Pelodiscus sinensis: one gene and its partner. The protein of the gene in region 2 interacts with the protein of the main gene of each other region in a pairwise test. Links are inferred from orthologs where the notes say so. Each region holds a gene or a part of one and is shown on either strand. Other genes may lie near its edges.

The links.
Region 1: the proteins of GRB10 (region 2) and GIGYF2 interact in a two-hybrid assay, tested with the Homo sapiens proteins (2 studies listed by BioGRID). The link is inferred for Pelodiscus sinensis from reciprocal best matches to the Homo sapiens genes GRB10 and GIGYF2.

The regions. Positions count from the first base shown.
Region 1 is NC_134720.1:4,776,078-4,786,704, forward strand, and holds the start of GIGYF2 (GRB10-interacting GYF protein 2), read left to right. Parts: upstream 1-6,419; 5' UTR 6,420-6,546; intron 6,547-10,627. Other genes in the region: uncharacterized protein LOC102449525, read right to left, coding at 4,198-4,243. UniProt on the Homo sapiens protein: Key component of the 4EHP-GYF2 complex, a multiprotein complex that acts as a repressor of translation initiation. In the 4EHP-GYF2 complex, acts as a factor that bridges EIF4E2 to ZFP36/TTP, linking translation repression with mRNA decay.
Region 2 is NC_134712.1:156,339,708-156,349,946, forward strand, and holds the start of GRB10 (growth factor receptor-bound protein 10), read left to right. Parts: upstream 1-6,242; 5' UTR 6,243-6,712; intron 6,713-10,239.

The DNA of each region.
Region 1 (10,627 bases), on a different chromosome or scaffold from region 2:
GCTCTTAGTGAAAGATGCTGTGAAAAGGTAATTACTCATTTCATGTATAACAACCGTTCTTCAAGATGTGCATCCGGGGGGTGCTCCACTGTTGGTGATGGGTCACCCGGAGCCACAGATCCGAGCCTTGCAAAGCAGTTTCCCTGACTGGGCCATGCATTCGCAGGACGCATGTCACAGCACTCCCAACTGAGCGTCCAACATGCGTGGCCTGACCCATCCATTTCAGTTCCTTTTTAACTGCCCTCAGCTTCAGATGGAGCTTCAATATGCTCTCTCACACTCTTATCTCAGATAATATTTTAGTGTTTTGACAGTTATCCTTATTGTGTTAGAAATTCATGTAAATAGTTCTCCTTGTTCAATTTTACCTCACAAAATGTTTTTTCTTCCCTACAGGATTTGAACATGGCTTAGCTGCTCAGCTCAGAGGCAACATGAACCAGGCTCCTTCCCAGTTCTCCTCTCTTCTTTTTCTTTCTTTTTTTTTTCCAGTACAGAAAAGGAAAAGAGAAAGAGTAACACTGCAGACAAATCAATATGTCTGGTTCTTCGGGCTTCAAGAAATGTGATGAGTGCTAGGAGCCCATGCCAGTATCCGATGACCATTCCCTATGCATTTGCTACTTAGGGGAAGCCCACATACCACAGAAGTGTGATCACTGCTGCAGCCTGGCAGGAAGAGCTAGAAAGAATACAGTGCTCCACCTCAGAATTATATTATTGGACAAGGCTATGCAGCCTGCTGAAGCACAAAATGCCTCCCAAGAATAGGAAGACTCACCAAAGAAAAGAGCCACTTCTCCGACACACTCTTCCTTGAGAGTAAGTAGGGAAGAGACCAGGCACTTTGAGGACCCCTGCTACCAAAATGGCAGGCAGAGCTTACAAATTAGCCACGGCGCCTGTCTGCACTTCCTCAGTGCTGAAGCCTAGGGGTACTCCACACTTGTGGTGCCCCATAAAACCCAGCATCACAAAATTATACGGGGCTGCAGGCAAAAGTGGCGTGTTCAAATAAAGCGGCACCGGCTTCAATGCTGCCACTCTCAACTCCAGCCGTGTCAGTGATAGATACAGATCCACAGTTGACGTGGGCAACAGTGGGGAGGCCATAATCAGCACTTGACAGCCAGGGCAAACATCATCACTCATGCCCTGCCTCTACAGGTCTATCACCTGAAGAATCTCCAGCCCGCAGCTCTCCTTGCATAATTAAATTCATCTGAAGGAGTGGGTTGTGTCTATGAAAGCACATGATACCATCTACATGGGTTTTTTTTAGTTTAGCTGCTAGATTATCTGTTGTTTTTTAAGTTTAATCTATTAAAAGGCAGACTAGCAGGAGTGTTTGCTTATCAAGAGCCAAATTTATACCTACTGTGCATCTGCCATAGTTCCTGTAGTTATACCTAGGAATAATTTGGCTCCATAGTCTTGTGGTTTGTAATAGTCTTATGTTCTGCTTGCTTGAGCATAACAGAAGTCCTCGGATAACTCTACTAAAATAGATACTAAAATGTATTTTGAATTTTCCAAATAAAATTTAAAAAAAATGCATACCTTAAAAATGTTCCCTTCTTGAAATTTTGCTTGATAAACTCCCCCAAACTAACTAAACTAACTAAAAGCAAGTCCCCACAAACTAGATTTCTCCAGTGTCAGACAGAGGCCTCTTCTGAATTCTCCAAGTAAAATGCAAAGAGATATTCACATGATCTAACTGACTTCTGTCAAGATACGACATTGGAACAACAATGCTACAAGGCACAGCTGCTTCTGCAAGAGAGCTGCAAGTGCCTATTCTGACATCTTGGGTTGGAATTCTTTTTCTTGCTATCCTCCCCTGCACTTTTCTAGCCATTAGTAATAGCAAGCAGCCAAGAGAATGGAAATACAAGTTGTCAGAGACCAGAACCTTACAGTTTTGCTACAGAGGCAGATGCTCCCTCAGAGCAGTTGCATATGATTAGTCCTTCTTTCTAAAGGTACATCTACACTGCAGCATTATTTCAGTAGCCTGAAATAGCTATTCCACATCTTTGAAAGAAGCCTGTTATTTCAAAATATAATGGAGTAGTTATTCTGACATCCCTGTAAACCTTGTTCCATGAGGACTAAGGGACATTTCAGAATAGGGTTTATTTAAGCTAAAGGTGCAGTGTAGACACACCCCAACAAAATAGTCCAATGAAAGATACCACCTCACCCATCCTGTCTCTTCAGTCTCCCAATGGAGCTCATTCTAAATGCTAAGATTTTTCCAAATATATGTAATGTGGTCATAGGCAGCGAGGTCCTTGGGTACCATGGGCCCATATAACAGGAATATTCCTATCTCATCTACACCAAAGGTTAGGGCCGGGTCTCACCCCGGCAATAGATGACTTGTGGCAGCACCCAGGAGGTGCACTGCACCCCCGTGCCTTGTCAAAATTGTAATTGCTAAATGGAGTGCTCTTATACCCCCCTCCCTGTTCCTCTGAGTGGTCCTCCCTACTCCCCATCCCTTGCAGACACCAGTTGTCTATGCTCCGGCCCCTGCGCAATCCCCTCTCCCCCATGTCCCCCCCCAGCCTGCCTGCTGCTCAGGGTGATTTAAAATGACCAGGGGCCTCCACTACCACCACCATCAGCCCAGTGGGGCTAAAGTGGCTTCCAGACACATGCTTGATGCAGCTGCTAGCAATCTTTCCTCACAAATCATGCTTTCTAGAATTTTAATCATTTTTGCTGCGCTCCTTTGGACCTTCTCCAATTGGTACACAACTTTTCTGAAATATGGAGCCCAGAACCGGACACAATACAATACTCCAGTTGCAGCCTTAACAACATGGAGTAGAATGGAAGAATTACTTCTTGTGTCTTGAGTACAATAGTCCTGCTGATACATTCCAGAATTATGGCTTTTTTTGCAACAGTGTTACACTGTTGACTCATATTTACTTTGTGATCCACTATCAACTCCCAGACATGGTCAGTATAGAGGAAAGGGAAGACATTGCTTCCCCTGGATCTTAATGTCCAAACACCTACCTCTTCTTACCCCTAGTCTGATTCTTCCTGCAGGCTCCAACAACAGGGTGTTTCAGCCTGGTGAGTCTGCCCCTAGAGGCAATCTAGTAATTTCAAAGTGAAAAGTCTTACAACTTGCCAGATCTATCAGCATAAGACTGAAACTGTTCAAAGAGCCATTAAGCAATAATGGAGTAATTTAAAAAGCATTTGCCATCCTGGAGGTATATACTGTCAGATTCTGAATGTACTTGACAAAAATAATTTTGCATTCCTGCAATATTTATTCAATCTATTCGGCTACAGGACCTTAGTTTACAATTTGCTTAAAATATTTAGTCAGTTTGTTGCGGCAGTAGATTATAAAACCACACATTTAAAACATCCTTGCATAGATTTTGAGATGCAGAATCTGAGTATTCATCTTTAGCCTTACATACTTGGATCTTCAGACAAACAGTTCTTTAAATTCTTCAAAAGATCTTATTTAAAATACACATTTTAATTACTATAATACAAAAAACTTGCTTCCAAAGTCGTCTTGTTCTTTCTATCTATCTCTGCTGTAATCTTTCTCTTTTCACTCTCTGTTCAAGAGAGTCCTTATAGGGACAACACCTCTTTTCTTCTACATACCTGGTTAAAATGAATTTTCCCTTTTTTTACTTCTGACTATTTGATGAACTACTTTTACGAGAACCCTCCACCAAAATCAGTAAGGTATAAAATCTTGTTATACCTAAAATATTTAGACATATTTTTAACATTAATATAAAATGAAATTTTGTAAATATGTCTATTGTTATGGAGATTACACAAAATAAATTAGTGTTCCCTTTTTCTAAAAGCAATGAATATTGTGATGAACACACTAAATTGCTCTGATTAATTTAAACTTATATTTTTGCTTCAGTGTCTTAAATCTGTAGTAATCTGGAATGATTACTTGTGCAGGCTTAAGAGTAAAATTAAAATATAAAATCAGCTCAGAAATACTGATTAAAAAAAATTAAACAAAGAAGAGCTGCATCATCTATTCCATAATATTTAATGTTATATTCAGCAGGACAGCTGACCTGCCCTTACCACAAAGTTTGTGCAAATAAATCTTTGACAAACTTCAGGGTATATATAAAAAAAACTTGTGACTTTTTTTATTCCCAAATAAATTTAATTAGGTACCTTCTGCAGGTCCAGTCTTCACAATCTGGCATGCAGTGGATAACATGTTCCATTTTCGTTAGAAAGAAATTGTAGAAGAGTGTTTTTTTTTTTCAAATGTCATTTTCTACATTTGGATTCAGGGATTTTGCTTAAAGGGGGTAAGCAGGGCAGGGAAAGAAGAGAACAGTGGGGAGAGGGCAGTGCCTGGGAAGAATGTCTGGAGCCTGCAGTAGAATATGGGCAGGGCCAAAGCCTGGGGAGTTCACCTTCCCAAGAGATAGCTTCATCCAATACCCGTGCCCCCAGAGCTCTTTCCATAGTACTCCTTCCTAGACAGTCATTTCCCATGTATGTGTGTGCAAGTGATTGTTCCTTCCTTAGTGCATTTGTCCTTTTTTAATTTAATTGTTTACTTCAGACAATTTCTCAAATTTGTCCAGATGACTTTTAATTTTAATCCTATCGTCCAAAGTACTTGCAACCCCACTGAGCTTGGTATTGTCTTCAAACTTTAAGTGTACGCTGTATAATTTTAGTCTCAATCATTTATGAAAATATTGAACAGAATCAGACCCAGAACTGATACCTGAAAGACCCCATGTGATAGACCCTTCCAGCTTGACTGTGAACCATAACTATTCTACAGGAATGTTTTTCCAACCAAATATGCATGCACTTTATAGTAACTCCATCTAGGCTTTGTTTCCCTAGTTTGAGATCAAGAGGGACACTAACAAAAGCCTTACTAAAATCAAGATATACAACATCTACCACTCCTCCCCTGCCACATCCCATCCACAAGGCTTGTTTCCTATCAAGCAGAGCCATTAGGTTAATTTGTCATGATTTGTTCTTCAAAAGCAACATTCCTTGATAAGCCATCATCACCTTATTTTCCAGGTGTTTGTAAACTGATTATTTACTCTATTATCTTTCTGTGTTCTTAAATTAAGAGGACTCATCTGTAATTACCCAGATTGTCTTAGTAGATTGCACTATATTTGCCTTCCTCTGCAATCTCTGTTTTGCATGAGTTTTCAAAAATAATACCCAATGTCTCTGATATTTTCTCAGTCAACTCCTTGACTATGTTAAGATTTTTTTCATCAGGTCCTGAACACTGATCAAGATGTCTGCCTCTGTGAGAAAGCAGTGTGAATAACGTGACAGGGTGATTTCTGCATATGAAGTGTGACTACAGTTGCCAACTTTCTAATCACATAGAACCAAACACCTGCCCTGCCCCACCCCGTGTTCTAAGCCTCATCCCACTTTCTCCTGCATCGCTTGTCCTTTCCCCAAATTCAATGGAATGGGCCAGAGGATTGGGTTGTGAGACTGGGTGAAGACTCCAGCTGGGGGTACAGGATGTGGGATGGGGCCAGAAATGAGGGATTCAGGAGGGGGCTGTGTGCTGGAGCAGGGGTGCAGGAAGGATTCTAGTTGGTGTTGCCGACTGTGGAAGTAGGAGGGGGCTCTCGGCTGGGTTTCAGGGGTTTAGAGTGTGGGAGCAGGCTCAGGGCTGGGCCTGCAAGCTCTGGGAGGGGGATCAAGGCACTGGTTCAGCTAGGCTGTACTTACCTTAGGCCAGAGGCACAGAGGCACTAAGACAGACTCCTGCCTGCCCTGGTTCTTTGAGACGCTGGGACAGGGCCAGTATGTCTGGCTCCTCGACAGAAAGTCTGGGGAGGGAGGTTTTCTGGGCACTGCCCCCACAGCTCCCGCTCACAAAGCCTCCCGGCCAATGGGAGGGGCGGAGCTGCTACTGGAGGCCGGGGGAGCGTCCCTGCTGAACACTCCTGGGAGGCCCGGCAGTTCCTTGTCCCACTATGCGGCCCTTTAACGCCCCGCTCAGCACTGCTGACCCGAGCCGCCCGCACCCCTTTTCCAGGCAGGGCTGGCTCCTTGTCAGAGGGCTCTGGATCACCCAGGTCGGGCGGGGTGGGAGAGCTGGGCCCAGAACAGAGGCAGTGGGGAAGTACCAGAGCACTTGGGCTCCCGCCCGGCCCGAGCTGGGTGCATGCGGAGGACTATGGCCCGTGCCTGGCCTGGGCCCTAGGGTAGGATCGGGGCTGGGCGCTGTCCCGACGCAGCGGCCTCGGCCGGCCTCGTGCTCTCTCTCGAGGCCCGGGCCTGGCACTAGGGCGGGGGCTCGCGTCACCCCGCGGCGGCCGTTAGCGTTGCGGAGCTCGCGCTCTGTTCGCGGCGCGCGCGCGCTCTCAACTCGCCGCCGTTCCCATCCGGGGCCTGGGTGGGTAGGTGGCGCCCTATATCACGTGACGATGCGTGGCGGCGCGACCGCCATCTTGTGTTGTTGGGACTGAGGAATTGCTTCGGCTGTGAGAGACTCTCCGTCCGGGATCGCAGGTAATTAACCCCGTTGGCGCCGGCCGGCTCCCCGGGGCGGCCAGGCGGTGCCTGAGCCTTTCTCCTTCCCGTCCGGGACGTGTCAGCCCCGCCGGGGCGGCCCTGCTGCGGGAACGTGCCTAGGCCGCCGTGGAAGCGCCGGTGTCGCCTGCGGTTGCTGCCCGGGGAAAGGTCTTTGCCGTGGGGTACAGAAGCCAAGGAGGCCCGCGGCCTTTGAGCAGCCGAGGTGACTTGGACTTGGCTTATGGGCTATAGGCCTTGCCGGAGCCTCCGTTGTTCGTCTTTCCCCCCGTCGCTTGCGCGGAGACGCAGCCGCCTGCCCCTCTTCCCACTTCCCGGTGGCTCTGACTGGTGGAGGCCCCGTGCAGGCGGCCTTTGGCAGCAGGTCCTGCCGTGGGTTGGGTGAGTGCTGGTGGGCCGGAGCCTGTCAGACACCTGCGGGATTTCTTGGGTCATTCCGGGCCATTTGTGGTCCCTGCTCGTTCCCTTCTTCCCCTAACTCCTGCGAGCGCTCCTCGCCCCCCTCAGCGTCTTGGGCGAGCCTTCGGGCAGGGTCCGTTCGCACTGACGCCTGTCTCCTCTGAGCATGTCTGGCCTTGTCATACTGCAGACACAGGAAGAAAAGAGCTGGTTCAGGGCTGAGGCGTCAGTAGGATCGGTGTTAAGGGGAATAATCATCAGCAGCGTGTGACCCTAAAGGCTGTGGTAGGGCGAAGAGCCCGTAGATCAGGATCAGGTGTGTTTGGTTTTAATCCAAGGCAAGTAGTCTCAGTGTCAACACAACGATTCCAGCACCTACGAGCATGTATAATTGCAGTTTAAATCCAGACAAGTTGGAGGCCAAAGGGGTCAATACTTATTGACGTGGTTGGAGTATTAAAAAAAAAACAACCCATATTCTGATTTGCTTCAGAATGATGGTCTTGGGGGTTTTCTTTTTTGGTTACTTTTGCCATTATTTTACGGTCCATATTTTGTTCTCTGTTTTATTTCTGAATGCTGCTGTTGTACTTTTAATTTAATCATTTTTGGTTTATCAGCCTTTGATTTCTTGCTTCAAGAGCTAGCATGTGTCACTTTCCAAACAAGTGGATTCTTCTGGCATTTGTTGAACTCACCTATTGCTGCCAACTCTCTTAGTAGTAGAGATGGTAGGAGCACTAGTGGCCACTAATTTATCTAAATCTTGTTTAGATCAGAGTTAGTTGATTTTATGGTAATTAGTCTGCACCCTGTCACTACTAACAGTAGGTGCAACAGTAGGTGTTTTTTTTAAAAAAAGCATAGCTATGCTAACTCAGTGAAGTAACTGGTGTCAGAGCACTTGTCACAGAATAGATTCTTTACTGAGCATGGACAAAATGCAAGATTCTGTTTACTGTGTTAAATAGGTCAGAAATAGGGGTACCATCACTTAAGTGATATGTGGCACTGAAAATTTACAGCAGTGATAGCAAGACTTGGCAGCTTCTTGATTCCATTGCTGTCTTAATATCTCTCTTCAGTTCTCTAACAAAGCTGTAAATTATTTGTTAGTGATTTCAGGAGGTGGACAGAGAAGCCTTGTCTGGGCATGTGGAGGTACTTGCACAAAGATTGCATTCTCTGTCATCAGGTTTGCTGCAGAGCCTTTTTTGAACAAATGATTTCAGCTAACAATTGAAATGTAGAATATTTATATTGCTATCTTGGTGTACTATTCTTCCTTTGCAAATACACAGGTTTCTTGATGTTGTAACACATCAGTAAAATAATTTATCAAATACATGAAAAGTTTTTGTAAAGCTCTGGGGCTTTTTTCCTCTATTTTTACTTTGTGAGTCGGTTTCACTATTTCCCACTGTATTGTCAGTCATCTTGCTTTCTGAAAAGACTAACACCAACTGGAGAGTTGAAAAGTCTTCACATTTTAAAGAAAAACTATGTCCCTTCTTCCAGAGATGTATTATCTATAAGGTCTGCCAAGAGACTGATATTTTTTTAAAATTACGAAATAAAACAAATCAAGTTGAATAATGCCTTTCACATTTATGAATGCTTCAAAAGAGGCAAATGAAGTTTTCCATTTGGGATGAACTGTAAAATTGAGAGATGATGAATAGCCCACTTGCACATTATCTGGGTGGCTGGATGTACTTTTTCTGAGTATACAGCTCTGTGAAATTATATTAGTAGCATACTAGAACACTGAAGAAAAAGATAACTTAAGGTACATCTACACTACAAGCATTGCAACAGATCACAAAAGGATATTTCTCTTTTTTAGTAAATCTAGAATCTCAAGAGGCAGTGGCTAGTAGGGATGTAAAAATATGTTTAAAAATGTAACTGTGTAACCACTAAAAATCATAGCATTTACACTTAAATAAGCTATGCTGCAGAGCCTCCAGCACCTGTAACCGCTCTGATTTTTAGTGGTTACATAGTTACATTTTTAAATGCCTGGCCCTGCTCCCAGGGAGCCAGCATATAATCTGATGGGGGAAGGTGGATCTGGCTTGCCAGGGACAGGGGTTGCCTCAGCCCCTACCTGTAACCAGAACCTGTAAGCCTCACCCATTAAGGTGAGGCCTACTGGTTAACCTTTTATATCTTTAGTAGCAACATCAAAAGAAGATTTTTTTTTTTACACCTGTCAATCTACCTACATTTACAGTCGTGGTTAGGTCACCCTCATTATGTTTCAAAGGGTGTGAAGGTTTTTATACAGTTTTGAGAGAGCTAGCTAGATCACTTAAGTTTTAACTGTAGACCGGGTCAGTTAAAAGTGGCCTACAAAGGAGAGTTGGTGGGAGACCCTTGCTGCACATTTTGTTGATTATATTTCTTCTTTACTGTGTTCAGGCCTTCCGTTGTCTTGAAGTTTTCTGCTTGTGTTTAACATTTGAAATGTCAAATATATTAATTTTTTTTTACTGAAGATTTAATTGGAAGTCCAAATAACTGATACATGAGTGTTTCCTCCCCAATGCTCTCCTCCCTCCCATTATTAAAACATTTCACAAAGATCTTGCCTCCAAACTGTTCCTTTGAGTGTTTGAGTTAAACACCTGTTAATGAACAGTCCCATTGTCTTTAAACAGTCTGATTATTGTCATCTCAATTCAGGATTCCTTTCCTTGGCTTTTGTGATGACATGGTTATATTAACTTTCTAGTATGCCCATTCAAGGAAAAATTTGGATAAATTATACTTTGACTGTAAAACGGAACAAAAAACTAACAAGGATTTTAATAAAACAACAAATGGTCTTGTAGCGCTTTATAGACTAACAAAACATGTAGATGGTTTCATGAGCTGTCAAGAAGAGATGTTTAGTTATGGTAATTATAATGTACATGTGAACATCCTGCCCTCTTGTGGCTGGCTGCATATTAAAAAGAATATAGGGCCTTGTTACATTACTTTTCTGTAACTCACTGTATTACAGGGGTGGGGAACGTAAGGCCTGGGAGGCTGGATGCAGCCACTGGTTTACCTAGATCTGGCCCCCAAGGCTTGGGGCTCTCCTCCCACCAGCATTGCAGAGCTTGTATTGGTGCTTCAGTGTCCTCCCCACCCACCCCAGTTGTTTCTCACTTGTGTGAGTCTCCTGACTGATTTTTGTTCCTGTGGGTCAGTCTGTCCATCCCCCCCACCCCACCCAAAAAAGGTTTTCCACCACTGTTTTATTAGCTCCAGAGGTAGTGGCAAGGTGTGAAGATAAAGGATCAGGGTCTCAATCACAGCTTTGTAAGTTTGGGTGACTTTGTTAGTATTTTAGTTGGAAGTGGTGGGTTTAATACACAATGATTTTCAGCTGTCTTTCTCAGAAAACAAAGAAACTTTGTGAACCTGCTTTTTGAATAAGGGTCTGAGGTTGGGGAAGCAGGTAAGTGTCATGGCTGCCCCCTTCTGCCTGAGGCCCCGCCCCTTCTTGAGTGGCCCAGCGCCCCTACAAACATTTTTGAAGTGGTCCTTGGTCAAAAATTATTTCCCACCCCTGCCCTTTGTAGAGCCCTGCAAATTTGCAGATATCTGTGGATGCAGATATCCATGGCTCATTTTTGCAGATAACAGTTTTGTATTTAGAACCATATGA
Region 2 (10,239 bases):
CTTATCGTTTAGGAGGAGTTCTTGTACAGACTCACAGACAGACAGATACATAAGGTCTCTCAAATATAAAGCAGATTATGAAGAAGAGAAGACAGTGTTGCTACATAAAAAAGTTTTAGAAACTTGAGTCCCTGCCTTTGTAATTTATACTTCTGTGGCTGTCATTGAGTGGAAATGATCATATACCGACAAAATAGCATTGTCAACATTGATTCTTGCATGTTTCCTTTCAGTAGAATACAACTTATATTCCAAAAAAATAGTGGCTTATCTTGAAGGCTGTTTTACATTCAGGCTATTATTTCCATGATATAGTATACGGTAACTTTTTCAGAGATTTGTTAGCTCAGGAAAAAGAAGCTAACTATCTCATAAATCTGCTCTTCCCTGCAGTTATAAGGATCTAGTTCTACTGCTATAGTTAACCATTTTAATTGTTTTATGACAGTATAGTTTAGTTTCAAACAATACAGCTGTAGTTCTGGAAACTAAACATGTCTTGCTTGCTATTTATATTTGCCAGAATGTACAGGAAATATTCCTCACATGCTGGTGTTTTTGGTTTTTTGTTTTACTGCCATGATGAGACACATAAATATTATATGAATGAACTCTTCAACAATCTCCCAGTAAAATGCTTTCTATTTATATAAGTAAATTTATGCTCAGACACCCACTTACTAATCATTCAACTGGACACTCTGTCATAAGCACTTATAGAGGAATCTATCAACAAGTTTGGCTCCAGTACAAGTAATTTTATTGTCTGTAAAATGTAACATAATGACACACAGTGTATACATTTTAATCCTTTAAAATCATATGTAATGTCAAATAGACATGTTCTCACACTTGTAAAATATTAAAGTTAATTTATGATAAACTGATGGATCAGCAGTATTTAGGGAGAGTATGCTTATTGGAAGAAAGCCAGTTAAGCCTCAGAAATGGAAAGACCCTGACATAACCTTTGTTACTTTTTCATTGTATGTAACTTTTATGTATTTTGACACTGTTGTTTATATTTAATAGTCAATCCTGAAATATTTTGTGATACTTTGACTGGACAGGTGGAATAATTTTGGAAACCTGGAATTCCTGAAGTATAATTCTGACTTGCTTTGTGACATTGGGCAAATCACTTAACCTCGTTTTGTTTCAGTTTCCTCATCTTTAGAAAGAGTGAAGCATCACCTTTGTAATACATACTGATCTCTTATAGTGACTAATGCTATAGAATTGCAAATATAAGTCATCCCCTCACTAAAGAAGCCTATGTTGAATATGATTAACCAATAGGCCCAATAAGGTTAGGCCTAGCTACAGGATCATGTGATGTCACAATAACATCATTCCACACTTTCTAGGCATGAGGAGGAAACTTGCTTCATGAACAGCATGCCCCAGGCAAAGGAGGTACTGCATCAGCTGCCTTGAACTGCATCCGTTGCCTCTCTACCCACAGCCAGTGAAGAAGAAAAGGGGAGAAACTTTCCTTTCACCCTCCCACTTCCCCCTCCCTGCCATATGGACATGGGGTAAAGGTATCGGAAGGCCTGGTCTGTCAACCTGACCACAGTGGTTAGTTCAGTCACCAGTATCTTCTCTCTTATGGTAGCTGAGGATGGGGGACGGGAGTGTCTTACACTTCCACTTTGTTGGAGGCCAGGGAGAATATTACTGCTGATCTCATTTAGCTGACCCATGAGACACCTTCCTCTTCAGGGGTATGTCTAGACTACATGGCTCATTCGATGGAGCCATGTAGATGAGTTTACTAGACCATAGGAAAATGAAGCTTCATTTACATCAAAATAGCCGCCGCGCTATGCCGATCAGCTATTTGGCAGTATAGCGGGACAGTCTGGATGCGCTGTGGTCGACAAGGGAAACTTTTGTCGACCTCTCCAGTAAAGCTCATTTCAGAGGCACAAGGGAGCAGTTGACAAAGGCTTCCTTTGTTGACTGCGGCGCGTCCAGACTGCCCCACTGTGCCGCCAAACAGCTGATCAGCACAGCAAAGCGGCCATTTTGATGTAAATCACCGCTTCATTTTCCTATGTCTAGTGAATTTATCTACATGGCTCCGTCAACGGAGCCATGTAGTTTAGACATACCTCATCAGTTTTTCAGAGCCTCCCTCTCCTCCACAGCAGTGCCTTTCTTGTGATGGGGGGAGCTCCGCTCCACACCGCTCACTAGACAACATGATGCAAGAAGAGAGCTTTCAGTCTCCACCCCGAAACAAAGGGCCAGAACAAGGAGGCCTGCAGTCGCTCCTTGCTGCTGCTGTGAGGGCCTCCCTTGATGCCTCATCTGTTGCATTTATTTGAGTCATACTCCCTATGAAGCAGAGGGTCCATGGAGGAGAGGCTCCAGTAACCCTTACAAAGGAAGCCCTGTGAGGAGCTGGGAGTGGGGAGAGAGCTCTCTGGTACCATCATCCTATCCACCAGGTGGGTCTGCCCCACACGCCCTAGCAATGGTGGTAGGAGTGGCTTCCTACCCCTAAGGTCCTCAGGTAGAGTTGGAGATGCTGAGTGTCTATGATGGGTGAATGGTAAGCATATGGCTGGATCATGTGTATCTGTGACAGGCTATTTGATATGTGTGATAGACTGGAGAGATGATGTGAGGGAATGACTGAAGGATTGAGAGCTGAAAGAACACAGGCGAAGGACATGACACGTACAGAAAGAGGAAGGTGAGATGAAGGGACAGCTGTGAAAAGGCACCAGCATATACCGTAAAGGGGATGAAAGGTATGGAAAATGGAAAAAGATGGAAGAATAAAAGCAATGTAGAAATAGGAAATTACTTTTAAAAAGGTGTTTAACAGAAACTGGAATGACTATGTTATAATCAATGCATGCCAATAGTGGTTTCTAATGATAATGAGCACTGGGAATTTCCCTGCTTCCAGTGGCATTCATCGTCCTCTGTAGATAAAGCTGATTCTTTTCTGCAAGTGGGTGTTTCTAAGGCATGGTTCATGGAATGTGCTCTGCCCCTCCCATCTTTAGAATGTACTAGATTGCACCAAATGACACTTTTTAAAAAAAGGTTCCTTTGGAGGTTACCCCTGGATTCCTTGGAAGAGCCTTTTCTCCAAATTACTTGTCAACATGTGAGGCACTTAAAAGTATTATTTGGATTGTGTGGAGCTGCATGCAGGCCTGGTGACAGGTGAAATGAAATGCACAAGGACCCCTGTTGCTGAAAAGCTAAAAAAGTATTACAAGTGTGTGAGAGCCCAAGGACTGAGAATCCAAGAGAATAGAGGTGCCACCCAGTTTATAAATATTCCCCTGTTGCCATGTATTGTTCCAAGAACAAGAACATAACAGAGAGACAGGCACATTGTCTGTGATATAAATGATGGTATTGATAAAACAAGTGAGAATAAAATTGAAAACAGGATGGGCAGGCAAGAATAGGGAGGAAAAAAGGTCATGTAGTTACTTACTAGCTGATACATCTTGTTTGGAAGTATAGTCTACAAACAGCATGCACAAGTATGTTTATATGTGTATTTCTAAGACACTCTAGACTCTCTTTCCAGATCTCCTCTGTCACTGTCCAACCCTCCCTACTCACCTATTATCCAGGGCATTTAAAGATCTCCTGTCCCCTGTAAACATCCATCCAAACCACACTCCAACCCCCAGGCATGCCACCTTAGAAACATTTCACATTCTATTTGCTGTCCTCATTCCGCCCTCCCCACTGCTCCTCCCAGAAAAAGCTCTCTGCTGATCAGGCAGCTGATAATGGAGCCAATCCACTGGAAGTAGGGCTTCTGCCCCTTATAGTGCTGAGGCCCAATGACCTGAAGTTCTGCTTGTGCTTTGAGTGGCTTGTTCCAGGTGGCCAAGACCAACTGGTAAAATATCAAGATCCTACCATAACCTTGAGTGCTAGTGGGATGTCTCCAACATATTGACTTGGTATGGGCAAGCCCTGAGCCCTCAGGAACATACGAATTGCCATACTGCATCAGACCAATAGTCTTTTGGGTCCAGTATCCTGTCTCTGACTCTAGCCAGTATTAGATGCACAGTCAGCTTCCAGGTAAGCCTCATTATGATCTCTAATGGTTACAGACCGCAAAGTCTTTAAATAGACTCTACATTTCTACTAGAGCAGTGGTCCCCAGCCTGTGATCCATGGACCCCTGGGGGGTCCATAACAGTACTTTATAGGGTCCATGGAAAGTTTAGGAAAGGAAAGGAAATAAAAGTAAGGATTAGGCTCACCATGGGACTGGGACTATCCACCAGACAATTCTCACGTGGGGCTCGCTGTTTGCAACCGGCCTCACCCGCATGCCACCTCTGGCCCTCAGGATGGGATCTTGATACCCCAGGAGGCAACATCCATCCTCCCACCGCTAGCTGCACTGCTATCCATGCTCAAGCCCTCTCCTGCTACCAGTCCCGCAGTGGGCCCAATCCTTCCTTTTCTTTTCCTTTTCTTTTTTTTTTCTCCCCCAGGACTCCATGCCCAGCCAAGGGTGGAGTGCTGAGGCAAGACCTGCCTTTAGCCACGACAGGCCCCTCGCCATATCCTCCATGGAAGGGCAGGGATGGAGGGGCGGGAACTGAGAAAGCAGTTCAGGCTAAGGGACGTGATAGCCACCACTTCCTTTGGGGGATGGGGTCCATAAAATTTTAACAGATTGAAAAAGGGGCCCTACGCTTGAAAAGGTTGGGAACCACTGCATTGGAGTTTAGTTTGGGTTGCATCTTAGCAATGACAGGGCTAATTTCAGTCCTGCTTGGGAGGAATTCCCTCTGATTGGTTGCTTGCCCTACCTCCTGAGGAAAAGCAACCACTCAATGCAGCTGTAAGAAGCTGGAAGTGTTCTTCCCACTCCAATCAGGAGATGGCCCCATTTCTTACAGGAGAGGAGAGAACAGAAAGAGCTCTGTCAACTAGGGTAACTGCACTTCTCCCTTCCCTCCCCTGGATTGGCTCCTCTCCACCTCTACCTCCAACACCTGGCTTGGGAAAGGGCAGGAACCTTGGGAGTTACCTCCAATCCTGCTGCAGCCCCCTGGCTCAGGAGAAGTGGGTGAAGAGCAGCAAGAAACAGGGGAGCTGAGGTGAGAGGTAGGAGGAAGTAGGGGAAAAACTCATGTGGGGACAAAATTGATGGGCATCAGGGGGCAGAATTAATTGCTGGGCAAGTGATGGCAGATGTAGAGGTGAGGGCTTCTGCAGCAGGTCCCCAAATCACCTTAACAGATTTTCAAACATTGGCAACACAAATTGTACATCCACTTGGTGGGTACAATGGGAGTGCAAAAATAAAGTCAGATCAAAACCATAACCCAACTAAATATTTTTATTGCCATGCATTAGGATAATTCTGCAGAGATGCTAAGAAGCTGGCCTGGATTGATTGGTGCAGCCACTCCTGTTGCTACTGGTGCATTTCTTGGCTTCTTTATTTGCACAGCAGCACTTCAACCTCCTTTTCCATGACTAGTGACACAGCTTCTGGCAGAGCACTGATCTTGCTATCCTGTTGCATTCACTGTATCCGGACTAAGTGTGAAACAGCTTGGGACAGGCCTTATCCCAGTCAGGGTGACTATTTTCTGTTGTCACAACGTTCAGGCGTATTTGGGGGACAGCACGCTTGTGAATCGTGAGTATACAAGGGGGGAGGACGACGAGAGACGCCCAAATAAGTCGAAGACACCTTGTGTGCACAGGAACATGGGCGAGCCCAGTACACGCGTGTGCAAAGTGGCTGTAACTGCCGGGGTGGGTCTGCAAGAAGCAAGTGAGCACAATTTGCGTGTTGAGGGGCTGGGGTGGGGGCGCGTGAGTCGGCGCGCCCGGTGTGCTGCTGGCATGCCCGCGAGCCTGGGTGAGGCGCGTGGCCCGCTGCGGCCGGCGTTAGCGAGGGTGCAGCGTGTGCGGACACGTGTCGGTGCCGTAGCACCCAGGGCGCGGCTGGGCGCAGGCCAGTGGCTTCGCTCCGTCCGCCCGCCCGCAGCCGGGCTCGAAGGGTTGGCGCGGGGCGGGAGGAAGGCGGCGGCGGCCGCAGAACAGCCCCCTACAGCAGCGGGCTGCAAGCGCTGCTCCAGCGGAGCGCACTGGAGCAGCGCCGCTGCCCTTTCTCGGCTGGCTGCCGGCTGGGCGGGGAGGCTGCCGCTGGGCTGGGGCGGGGATGGCTCTGGCTGCGGCTGCGTGGAGGCGGCGCCGGGGTGGGAGGTGGGTTTAAAGCCTATTAAAGGGGGAGGGGGGCGGTGGAGATGATGCATCCTAAGCTGGAGAGTCAGCTGAGTACGGAGCAAGATCTGGGCGGCGGGGGCACGTAGCCCCGGGTTAATACCAGCAGCTCGGAGGAGGGAGCCGGGTCCGCAGCGGCGGTTCAGCAAGGGCAGAAGTTTTCTTTGTAGCTCCCCTCCCGTACGGAGGGGCTGCCGTATATATTTTGGCGTGTGCAATGGGAGTTTAACTTTCCTCCTCCCCGCTGGGAAGACCCCCCCCCCCCCCCGTAGCTAGCATCCCGCGCTGCCTGCTGCACTCCCGACCCCACCGGAACAGCAGCCACAAAACTTGATCGGAGCGTGCGAGAGGGAGGGCGAAGGAGCCAGACGCGCACAGCGAAGCACTCGAGAGGGGGAGGGGGCACTGGTGGTGTCCGGAGCAGCCAGAGGGAGGCCACGAGGGCGAAAGAGGCGCCGGGCAGCAGCAGGTAAGAGACTCAGCAGGGCAGGGGAAGGGTGCGCTGTGAAGTGGGCATGCCCCGTCCTGCAGGCGTCCCTTGCAAGGGGCAAAGCAGCGGGATCTGGCGGGAGGAGGCTGCACGAGCAGGGAACTGCTGGGAAAGGTCCAGGACTGCGAATGCAGAATGCGCTGGCTTAGGCGCTCGCAGAACAGGCTAGGGTGAGGGAGGACGCCTGAGGCAATGAGGCTAAATTACAAGGGGACTGCGCGCGTGAATGTACATATCGCCTATAAGCTGGTTGGGAGCTTGTGCGCTGAGGGTTCCTTAGTAGCCGAGGTTGGGAGGGGGGCGGGGGAGAGGAGTACGCAATTCTCTTTCCCTGACTTCGGATTTAGTTGGTCACTTTCAAAACTTCCTCATTAAAGCGGAGTGGAAAGCTGGAGCCACCTCCCCCCCCCCCCCCCCCCGCCTCCACTGACAAGACTTCAGGCGAGTTGAGTGCGGCGAATCCGTTGTTAGTAGTTTGCCGTGCTCTCTTGTCTCTCCTCCCTTGGACCTTTATTAGCCCCTTGGGGGAGTCACTGAGCCTGTGTGCATATTTGAACCATTTCGTTGTCAGATCTGAGATCCTTTCAAGCCCGAAGAAAGGAGGAGGGGGCTGGACTGCAACGATCAGAGGGGATCTTAAGTCCACAGAATAAGGTCCATTTCCCACTTCCACCGGTTCTTAGGCGTGCTGTACTTACTGGCCTGTACTTGTATTTATCGGGAATTGAAACAGCTTTTACAGGGCCTCAGGAAAGCTAAACTGTTTCTTTTGTGTTGCTTTTCCTAGAGGTATTAAAAGTTTAGGTCTGAAATGCTACCCCCATTTTTCTCTTTTGGCAAGGAGAATAACTTGAGGCAAAGGACAGATCACAGAAGTGCCACTCCGGATGCTGCTGCCTGCCCTCTCTTACTTCTTCCCTCTTCACCCCCCCCTTCCCCAGCTATCCTCAAAAACAGATTTGGGAATAAGGGGAGTCTTTGAACATTTTTGTGGGACAGTATTTTGGTGGCTTTTGGATAATATTGGGTAGTTTCTTGTAACCCAGAACGTGTGAAATAAGGCTTGGCAGGGAGAGGTTTTTACTTTCTTGCCCTCCCCCACCTTCAACTCATGATTGGAGGTAGAGCAGGAAAAATCTGTTCCACATGGGCTCCCCTTCTATACCTTGTTTGCCTTGTTGCAAAAACTGGGACCTAAACTTTATCATCTTATAAAAGAAAGTCTGCAATTAATTGGTTTGGCAGACCATAGAATCATTGAAGATTAGGGTTGGAAGAGACCTCAGGAAGTCATCTAGTCCAAACCCCAAAGATGCACTAGTGCAAAATCTCTTAAACTGCCAGGCCCACCCTACTCTCCCCCCTTCCTTAAAATCCACATAACATTTAATTTTAGAGTAGTATGGAGAGTGCTGATTCAGCACTTGAGAGCACCACTGTATCTGCAGTGGTGTTCTGTGTAAAATGTTTTGATTTGTTGAACTGGGAACATATGTTTCTGGTATGTCAAAGCAATACCGATCAAGGTTCACAAAGCAGTACTGTGCTTGTTCATGATCTTACTCCTATAAAGTGAGAAATAACAATGGGCATTATGAAGGGGGTGGGATGTTAGATTTCTAAAATTTAACTTAATAGTCAAATGAAATTGTATTGCATCTGGGAGGTGTGATCTTCTGAACCAAGCTTTTGTAGGTGGTGTGATCAATAAACAGTTGTAAGATTTCAGTTTAACTCATTCTTAAATCCATGGGCTAGTTGTACTTACAGCATTCAGAGAAACAGAGGAGGGCAACAAGGCTAATCCTAGGATAAAAAGGAGTGAGTTATGAGGACAGTTTAAAAAAAATGTGTGGCGATTGGACAACCTGAGTGGAAGAAGGAATTATGCCTGAAATGAAATGCTGTAAATGACAACCTTGATGGCTGCTTCAGTTCATTTAGATAGGCAGACGAGGAGTGAAGGGACATGCAGAATGCTCAGAACATACACATATTTTCCCTAGCAAGGTCTGAATGGAAGCAATGTGGCTATTCAAGAAGCATATTCTTCTCTTTCCCTTGTGTTTTGTCTCAAGATGTACCGTTGTAGTCTAATGAATAAACTTAATCTTTGAGCCAAGTCAGTCTTGATATCAATCTCCTTTTTAAATAAGCTGCACAACACCGAGCAAACACAGACTAAAAAGTGATGTTTGGTAACATCTGTTATGAATGATAATGAAGGGACCCCTCCACATGCCTGAAATTATTGTTTCTTCCTCTCCCCCCCCCCCCCTTCCCACCTGCTAATATTGTAGTTCATTTGCACTCTTTGTTCTTAAAGTAGATCTTGTTTGCTCTGGCTGGATATTCTAGTGAGTTTCCTTGGTTTTTGTCAGTCAAAGTATCCTCTTCCCTACTGTGGTGTGTGTTGGCTTCCAATCTCTAACCCAGGTGTAACTTGCTTTCAAAAGAAATAATAAACACCACTTTGAAAGCATTGCTTAGATGTAAAATGGATATCTGCATTTCATGTCTACCCATGGAAAAGAACAACTGTAGTCATAAAGTGAACATTTGCAACTCGCTGTCTTGTTTATATTCCATGACTCTGAATCTAACAAGAATCACTACAAGTTACCCTACAAACTGTGGGCTGGATCCTGAATTGCAGTCCACTGGCATGTAAGGGCTGAAAGTAGCTGGATCTCCATTGCTGTGGGTTCCTTCCAAGATGGGATGTTGCCAGCTGGCATGAAGACAGTATAGCTAGGCCATGTGCCATCTTCCAACAGCCCTTGCAACACTGGTGGGAAGGGGGAGGATGTTAATCTGACAGTCCCCAGCTAGCAGATGTCCCATTGGAGACTGTTAGCAGCTGGTGTACTGCAGAGCAGCTCTAGGCTGGGAGCCACAACCAACTTCACTTAGGTTTTCCCCTTAGATTATTTGTGGTGTCTCCGTATGTGTATATTGAGGTGGTAGTGCCTCACTGTGAATGGAGAGTTGCACAGCAAAAGCCTCCTTGCCAGTCATATAAAGGAATAAAACACCAGAGGGCTTTAGGGGGTAGTACTAGCTTGCACTTGTAGGACTCTGGGTTGTACTTAAATCATTTGACTTGTTTAGGTAAAGTTATCACTGAATATAGTAAAAACTCTAATTCCTTTACTTTAAAATAACTTTGAAAGTAGACTGAACAAACATTTAAAGATCAGTTAGCAATGTTGTATAACTTAATGGGTAGTGATAGTGTTGCTGTATTAATTTCTTGGCACTGTCATTCTATCCCTCTGTTTAAAGATTTCTCTCCCATCCATACCCAAGCTAGGAAAAGCAGAGAAACTATTTTTTTGAAACTTGAGCTGTCTGACACTATGAAATGTCCAATGGGCAGGTATGACATTGGATCTTATTTTTGCAGTATTTGCAAGCATAGAATCATAGAACACTAGAACTGGAGGGTACCTTGAGAGGTCATTGAGGCCAGTCCCCTACCCTCATGGCAGGAGGCATCTTTTTAC